2 linked regions of the Coturnix japonica genome follow. The protein of the gene in region 1 binds, or shares a complex with, the protein of each later gene. Links are inferred from orthologs where the notes say so. Each region holds a gene or a part of one and is shown in the gene's direction. Other genes may lie near its edges.

Evidence for each region.
Region 2: the proteins of LLGL1 (region 1) and PRKCI are in contact, whole or in part, in a cryo-EM structure (PDB 8R3Y), measured with the Homo sapiens proteins. The link is inferred for Coturnix japonica from reciprocal best matches to the Homo sapiens genes LLGL1 and PRKCI. Residues at the interface, in NP_004131.4 of Homo sapiens: Ala315, Asp319, Glu367, His391, Ser392, Ala394, Thr396, Glu453, Cys483, Glu484, His485, Phe506, Asp507, Pro508, Tyr509, Ser510, Asp511, Pro513, Gln518, Lys519, Lys569, Ala600, Val601, Thr602, Leu644, Gly648, Pro649, Leu650, Ser651, Arg652; in NP_002731.4 of Homo sapiens: Asp339, Met341, Gln345, Arg348, Leu381, Asp382, Met399, Thr412, Phe413, Cys414, Pro417, Leu425, Glu445, Gly449, Arg450, Ser451, Gly457, Ser458, Ser459, Asp460, Asn461, Pro462, Asp463, Asn465, Thr466, Glu467, Asp468, Tyr469, Leu470, Phe471.

The regions. Positions count from the first base shown.
Region 1 is NC_029529.1:5,074,194-5,078,541, forward strand, and holds the start of LLGL1 (lethal(2) giant larvae protein homolog 1), read left to right. Parts: upstream 1-1,453; 5' UTR 1,454-1,655; coding exon 1,656-1,736; intron 1,737-3,530; coding exon 3,531-3,628; intron 3,629-4,348. UniProt on the Homo sapiens protein: Cortical cytoskeleton protein found in a complex involved in maintaining cell polarity and epithelial integrity. Involved in the regulation of mitotic spindle orientation, proliferation, differentiation and tissue organization of neuroepithelial cells.
Region 2 is NC_029524.1:17,526,818-17,530,625, reverse strand, and holds part of PRKCI (protein kinase C iota type), read left to right. Parts: intron 1-44; coding exon 45-180; intron 181-600; coding exon 601-688; intron 689-1,850; coding exon 1,851-1,976; intron 1,977-2,072; coding exon 2,073-2,152; intron 2,153-2,979; coding exon 2,980-3,069; intron 3,070-3,338; coding exon 3,339-3,454; intron 3,455-3,808.

The DNA.
Region 1 (4,348 bases):
TTAAAACTCTTTTGCACTGAACAACATTGGGGTGAAACCTTGATTCGAAACAAGACACATTTTTCACGTGGATCCAGATGTCTAGATCCCTTACTGTGACCTGTTTGGTAAAACTGTGGCTCAATACACTGCTGCTGCCCATATCTGTTCTCTGTTGTGGCTGTGTGAAGGCTGCCATCAGCCCAGAGCTGTGAGTCTGGTGTGGAGGTGGGCTCACGTGCAGGCCTGACCAGGTCGGCTTCTTTGTCTTCATATAGTTCAGCAATGCAGTCCCATTTCCTCCCCATCCACCTGCTGTGTGCTGTCTGTAACCTGCACACCCATCCTGGGGCGTAAGGCTGTGTACAATGTGATGACCCCACGAGCACTCGGACCCACAGCCCAGACCAAGAGAACTGTCTTTCTTAAGGAGGGGGGGAGGTAGATGGAAGTTGTTCCTGCTGTTCTGCAAAGGGACGAATTGGGGTTTGCTGCCTTTACCTGCGTGTTGAGAAGACTGAGAGCCAACCAAGGCTCTGCTGTTGGTTGTGTAGGCTCCACTCATCCTCTGGAACAAAACCCAGGGCTGTTTGCCACTCGTGCTGGCTTCAGAGATGTCCCAACCCAACCCCATGGCTGGGGATGGCCTGGAGGGGGCTCAGAGCGTGGCCATGGGGTCTGGGCCCCCATCTAGAGGCAAACTATTGTCTGCCAACCACCTTCCTTTACCTTTACCTGGCGAGGAGGAGAAATGCTGAGCCGAGAAACGCATCTCTGCTCCTTCCTGCCCCCCCTGCTCACATTAAACCAATTCTAGCTGACTTTTATTTTATAAGATTCTAATTTTTTGTTTTGTTTTTTTTGGTTACAAATAATAATAATTAAAAAAAAATAAAAATTAAAAAAAAATACAAAAGAAAGTGGCAATATTTTTGTTTTTTTCCTGTCAGCTTTTCCTAGGAAAAAACGTGGCTTTGTAACAAAGTTGTACAGTTCTGAAGTATGAAGATACGAGGAGTCGTGTGTGAGTGAGACGCTGTAAATGGGGCAGAGATTATTTTATGTACAGTCCGACGCAGGGGGATACTTTTAAAATTCCGGTTTTGATTCTTTAGGAAGAATTTTAGTTCTTCACTTTGTCAGGGTTTGGAATTTCATGGTTTTCGTTGTTATGATGATGATGATGATGATATATATATTTTTTTTCTTGTATAGATCGCTGCATTAATTGAATAAAAGCAGAAAGCATCGCTGTGCCGCCTTGTGTCGCTGTGTGTGGGGGGGTCAGGGCCTTACACAGCGCTGCGGCCTAGTCCGCTCCGTGTGGTGAAGCCTGACGGATGAACTACAACTCCCAACACCCCCCACAGCGACGGAGCATGCGCAGCGCGGATAGGAGGGCGCCGCCGCGCCGTGCGTGCAGCCCAGCGCTGATTGGCGGAGCGAGCTGTCAGTCAGGGACACGGCCCGCCCCGCCGCGGCGGTGCCTGCCCGGGGCTCGGCGCGCGGCGCTCGGCGCTCGGAGCGGGGGGGGGGCGGCAGCACCGGGACCGGGACCGGCAGCGGAACGGAACCAGCACCGGGAGCGGCACCGCCGGCAGCGGGAGCGTCTGCCCCGGGACAACCCACCCCGCCCGCCGCCTCCTGGTACCGAGCCGAGCCCCGCCGGCCCCACCATGATGAAGTTTCGGTTCCGGCGGCAGGGCGCAGAGCCGAACCGAGAGCGGATCCGCCACGACCTGTTCGCCTTCAGCAAGGTGAGCGACGGGACCGGGGGGCGACGGGGGGCGGGACCGGCGGCCAACAGCGCTGAGAGCGATCAGGGACCACCGGGGGGTGGGGGCGGCACGGGGGGAACCGGGCAGCGGGAGCCGAGCAGTGTGGGACCGCGGGACACCGGGTGTGTGTGTGTGTGTGTGTGTATGTGTATGGGGTCATACATGTGTGTGTATGGGGTCATACATCGCCCCCACACACACCGAGACCCCAACTGGGCGGCAGCGCCCGGTACCGGCACCCGTGGGGGCTGTACTGAGCTTTGGGGACCCCCGCACACACTGCGATCCCGAGTGTGACCCCCGTGCTGCTGCTATGGACCGGGGGGTTCTGCGGCCGCTTCATAGCGCTGCAGTCCGGTGTCACCCCCGGTGCTGCTCGGTGCCCGCTCTCTACGGGATCCTTCCATCCCTCCATCCCTCCATCCTGCAGTGCTGGGACGTCCCCGACTCCTGGGGACACCGAGCAGGAAAACATTGTCACCTTGGACGCGGTATTCACCCCCCCTCATTGCTCCCCAACGTTTTGGGGTGCCCCAAACCTACAGCAGGGTCTCACCCCTCACCTCAGCCCATCCCACTTTTGGGGTCCCACCACCAGACCCAGTTGCCTCCCCCCCCCCGCCCTGGGGTTGGGGGTTGCTGCGGAAGCTGTGAGCGCCCCGGGACGCTGCCTGCCCACCTGCCTCCCATTAAGGTCTTGGGTTTTGTTGTTTTTTTTTCCTTCCTTGTGAGCTCCAAATCTGCCTCACATTTGCTGTAATTTGGCCCAGTGCTCCTTGGCCGTGCGGAGCGGCCTGCTGCCGGATACAGCCCCGCTTCTGGTGGGAGGAGGGGGCTGCGAGGGGACTGGGTGCTCAGTCACCACCCCCAGCTCCATGGGCATCCCCACAGCCACCATCCCTGGATCCTCGAGCTGCCATCATCCCCTGTAGCATTAGGGCTGCAGGCAGAGGCTTGTGGGGTGGCTGTCCTGCAGTGAGGGTGTTTATGGGGCTCTTGTGGGGTGGTCCCGTCAGACCCCATCTGAACACTGAGCTCAGAGTGTCCCTATGGTGCCACCCCCTGCCCCCCTTTGGCTTTCAGCATCCTGGAGCCAGGCGTACATCCTGCAGAGCCTTTGAGGTGCTGTGTGGGTGATGGGGACCGGCACCCAAACTTGTCCTCAGACTGAGGGCGTTGCAGAACCCTCCTGCAAGGGGACGTGGTGGTCCCTGCTGCCGGGTGACACCGCAGAGCAGCTCTTGGCACAATCAGGAGGTGTCACCCCGGTGCATTTTGATGTTGCAGCCCCTGGGAGTGCTCCCTGCTGTGAAGGTGGTGGATGTCCCTCCCCCGCCCCCCTCCCCAAATGCTGCCCAGCCCCTCCTGGAGCAGCGAGTTTGGGCACACCATCATGGACTTCCTTGGGAAGGTGCCCACGGGGGCTCAGTGTGGTCCCACTTGCCTGGTTCTGTGTGGCACCGCTGGGAACCCCCATGTGCTCCTCAGGGTGCTGCTGTGGATGGGGCTGTCCCCGTGCCTTTAGGTGGTGGGGTTCACCTCTTTAAGGTTAGGGCAGCCCTGGTCCTTTGGTGTCGTTTGGGGTGGCTCGGTCGGTTTTGGGGTGTAAATCCCTGAGGCAGCTCCTGGTGCTGCTGTGGCATCCTCAATGCGTTGCAGGGCCAGGGCTGAGGCAGCTCAGTGCCACCCTGCTGGGCACTGTTAATGCTGCCCCTCCTGCATGGAGGGCTTGGGATTTGTGGGGACTCTGCTCTGACCCCTCTGTCCCCACAGACAGTGGAGCATGGCTTCCCCAGCCAGCCCAGCGCCCTGGCCTACGACCCCCGGCTGCGTGTGATGGCCATCGGCACCAAGGCAGGAGCTGTTAAGCTGTATCCTTTCCTAACAACCCCCCCCTCCAAAAAACAAAACACTGAGGGGGGGCAGCGCAGCCCCCAGCCACGTCCTGGCGGTGTCCGTCCATCCGTCCAGCTGGGCTGCAGCTGTGCTGAGCTGGGGGGGGAGCGCCGGGGGCTGGAGCAGAACGGCTGCCTTGTCCCGAACTGTGAGCCTGGAGCGGTGATTTGGGGGAGGAAAACAAACCCAACCAAAACCCGGGAGCGGGATGGGATGGGATGGGGTGGATGGGATGGATGCTCCCATCCCGGGATGCTGCGGCTGTGCTTTGTTGTGAGCGGGGAGACTCCGCTGTGCTGCTGGCGGGCAGCCAGGGCTGGATGTGGCCACATCGGGGCCCCCGCACTGCAGGAATGTGGGGGGGGGCACTGGGAGGCTGCATCCCACACGGGATTCTTTTTTCTTTCTTTTTTCTTTTTAAATAATTTTGTTTTTGGAGGGCAGAGCTGCCCCGGCTTCCCTGCCTCCATCAGCTTGCTGCGTTCCTGGCTTGAAGATGGCATTTTAGTGCCAGGGCTGCTCCGATCCTGTCCTGGTGCCATCCTGGCCATGTCTGTGCTGGTTCTGGTTCTGGGTAGGATGCTGGGGGACCATCTCCACCCCCAGCAATCTGTGTCTCCTCAGCAACCAGGGGGTCCTGGCACTTGGTCCCCTTATAGTACTGCACTGCTGTGTGCTGCATAGCCCTAGTGCTT
Region 2 (3,808 bases), on another chromosome or scaffold:
GTTTATTTGACTGCTGGGGTAATCAGTATATCTTGCTGTTCTAGGTTTTATTCTGCTGAAATCAGCCTTGCATTGAATTATTTACATGAAAGAGGCATAATCTACAGAGATTTAAAACTAGACAATGTGCTGTTAGATTCTGAAGGACATATTAAACTCACAGATTATGGCATGTGCAAGGTAAGCTGTAGTTCCTTCCTAAGTAGTAAAAGCAACAATTAAGAAATTGTCATTTTAAAGAAGCAGAGATTAATTGTCAATTAAAAGAAGCAGAGACTCAAAAAGGTGAAACTTCTGAGCATTTCTTTATGCATGTGAACCATTCCACAACTTCTCAGTTATTCCCAGTTTCCTGTTACTGGAGATATTATGGAGTTGACCAGCTGAAAGGTTAAAGAACTGTTGTCAGTGGGTACAAGCCATCCTCATGAGATGTTAACTGCAACCTGCTTTTGTGTAGCAAATAATATGTCCCAGCCTGGAATTTAGAGGGTTTTTTGTTTTGTGATTGAAAGGAGGCAAGTAAAAGTTTTAGAAAGTATGTGGTGGGAGAGAGTTACACACAGCTTGTTTTGACAGTGGTGGTGTTTGTTTGTTTAGGAAGGGCTGAGGCCTGGCGATACAACAAGCACGTTCTGTGGAACTCCAAACTATATTGCTCCTGAAATTCTTCGAGGAGAAGATTATGGTAATTCAAACTTTTCACTGCTACCATGTGTCTACCATGTAACTTTCAGTTATCTCAGCTTCTTGCTCAAGTTGTTTAGCAGTGGAATTCTGTTAGACTTGTGACCCATCCAAGATAACATGGTGTGAATGGACCCTTCAAAGGGAAGGCTGAAAGTATCACAACAAACAAATCAGATATCCCACCTTCTGCACTCTTATCTTGTTTTTAACAAGCTTAAAGAGTAGCATGGGTCTTCTAAGTTCATTATAGTTTATAACTGTTTTATATACTCTTAAAGATACCCTTGCTTGCCTTGTGTTCACTTTTGGAGCTTTGTATTTGGCAGTAGTGATATAATACATGTATTACAAAGGGCTTAGGTAATGAATGTCCCTTTCACAAATTTTGGTGTTTAAAAACTGAAAATGTCCATGCAAATGCATGTTGAAGTCCACAAGGCTCCTGAAACGCGGGATAAGAGTACAGTTTATTGTGTATGTTTCTTCTGCTTATCCTTTCTTCCTTAACTTCCAGTAGTGTGTGAAGCAGATCTTTGGTCTGCGTTCTTCCCTCAAGATTTGTAAATGTTCCATAATTATTTCCAACTAAAAAAGAAAACAACAAAAAACAAAACCAAAATAACAACCAAATACCAATAGAGGTAGAAGTGCACATACACTAACTTAACTGAATGTTTCTGTCTGGCTTAACATTAAATCTGTCTGTCCATCCTTCCTTTCACAAGTTTTATACAATAAACAGTCTCAGCCTAAGTTGCTGGAATTCTTTTCTTTAGCACTGCATAATAGACTAAGAACTGTCTTGCTACTGTTAAGAATCATGTACTTCCTTCTTGTCCTTCCCCAGTTAACAGACTGTTGGTTAGCAATGACTAAGCCTATGTGTAATCTAAGACTTTGTTAAGGCTATGACGTCACCCTTTAAAGGTTTTGCATTTCCTCTTTGTACAGAATTTCCTCCTATCCTTCACATAACAAACCACGTAATGTCTGTTTACTGCTGTTACCTCTCTTTTATTAACTAGTCAATAGAAAACTAGATAATCACACTATCGATAATTCGTTTAAAAGTATTCTCTAAACATTTTTAGGACTACAGCAAGACTTTTTTTTTTCTGCTCTCAAAATTCTTTATCAGTATTTTCTCTTATGAATTCCAGGCTTCAGTGTAGACTGGTGGGCACTCGGTGTATTGATGTTTGAAATGATGGCAGGAAGGTCTCCATTTGATATTGTTGGAAGTTCTGACAATCCTGATCAGAACACAGAAGACTACCTTTTTCAAGGTAAGTACCATGAGTGTTCAGATACTTCAGTACTTTGTTTACCTTTAAGCTATGTTTAAAGATGTGAAAGCTGATATAAACGCTGGTTTCTTGCAGTAATTTTGGAAAAGCAGATCCGAATTCCCCGATCCCTTTCTGTTAAAGCCGCAGGTGTTCTAAAGAGTTTCCTTAATAAGGTAAGAACTGAAACAGAGGATTTGACTTCTCCAGAGTGGCTGTTTTGTTGTGGACTAATTGATGTGTAGCAGATCTACCTTAGCTGCTGTGCACAGAAAGAGGGTACAGAAGGTGTAATCCTGTAACATTTTAGCAAGGCTGGGAAACTTATTTAAAATATTTGTCTTTGAATCTGTAGCTTTAGATTATTGCTGTGGAGCTGGAAGTGAATTTCAAACTAAAAGGCTTAGAAATGTTCTAAATAATTTCTTTAGCTTGGAAAACTGAACAGGCTTAGCACATTATCTGGGTACCTAAAGACGTTTACATTGTTAGTAACTTAGTTGTGGTAGTATGACATCTATAAACAACCAGAGAAGCTCTTTCCCTTGAATAAGGGACTTGTCAGAGCTGTCCTCTTAAAGTCGACTCATTTCCTTCTTTCTGCTTCTACTGAGAGCATTGTGTTACAGCCTCCTAGTGGAGAGAAGTGTTAAAATAATCTTTCAGCTGTATGTATCAGTAGCTTGCAGTTACTGTCTCAAAACAACTTGGATAGGCAAGCTGCCTGTTGAGGGGAAGAATCAAATTCACTTGCTTCAAAATGTTTAAACCCATTTGAATAAAAATAAGTGAAGATGGGGTGGTTGTTTATATATTATTCAAGTTTGGACTTCTGTATATTCTGTAAATTGAAACGTTTTTCAAAATAAATAACACGAACTTTGTTCTTCAGTGCACCTCGTAACAGAACTCCTGATAATTCATGATTTCTCACAGAATTTGGAACAATGCTTTTATTCATACGTAGGCTGTGGCTCTCATTTAGAAATACTTTCTTACACAGGACCCAAAGGAGCGGTTGGGCTGCCACCCTCAGACAGGATTTGCAGATATCCAGGGACATCCATTTTTTCGCAACGTTGATTGGGATCTGGTATGTGAATGCCTGCTGGACTCTGCTTTGTGTACAGCGGTGATGTGGCAACTTCTGATTGTGAGAGATGCCACAAAGCTTCATAAAACCTTAAGCCCTTAACTGGCTTACTACAGTCTTAATACAGAACCTCTTTGACATGCACTGAGTACAGTGGAGTATTTTAGAGAGAATATGGAATGAATTTGAGAGTAACTTTTGGCCTTATTTAAATATAATTCTGTGGGTCATAACTCTTTCTTGATGTCACTAAGTGTGTTTGTTCTTAGATGGAGCAAAAGCAAGTGGTGCCTCCATTTAAACCAAATATATCTGGCGAATTTGGTCTGGATAACTTTGATTCCCAGTTCACCAATGAACCTGTGCAGCTCACTCCAGATGATGAGTAAGTAATGTAAAAATTAAGATGTTTTGATAAAGCATTGAAGGAGTTAGACAAATTCATCAGCTGGTTGTATTCTTAGTACAGAAAGTCTGTTGTCTCCTCCTTGTAGGCTTGGTATGGATGGGTTAACTATAGTGCTGAGTCATGAGGTAACAAAATCTGTGATCAGTGGGTAAGAATCCTAGTTTGGAGAAGGATGATTAAGTGTTATTTTACGATGTTAGTGGTATCACTTGCAAGGAATGAACGTGTGAAGGAAAAAATCTGTTTTTGATGCATGGTTTATTTCAGTACTATGCTAAGAGGTGATATTTCTGGAATGTTGGGTTTAGATTGGATTTATCTTTGATGCTC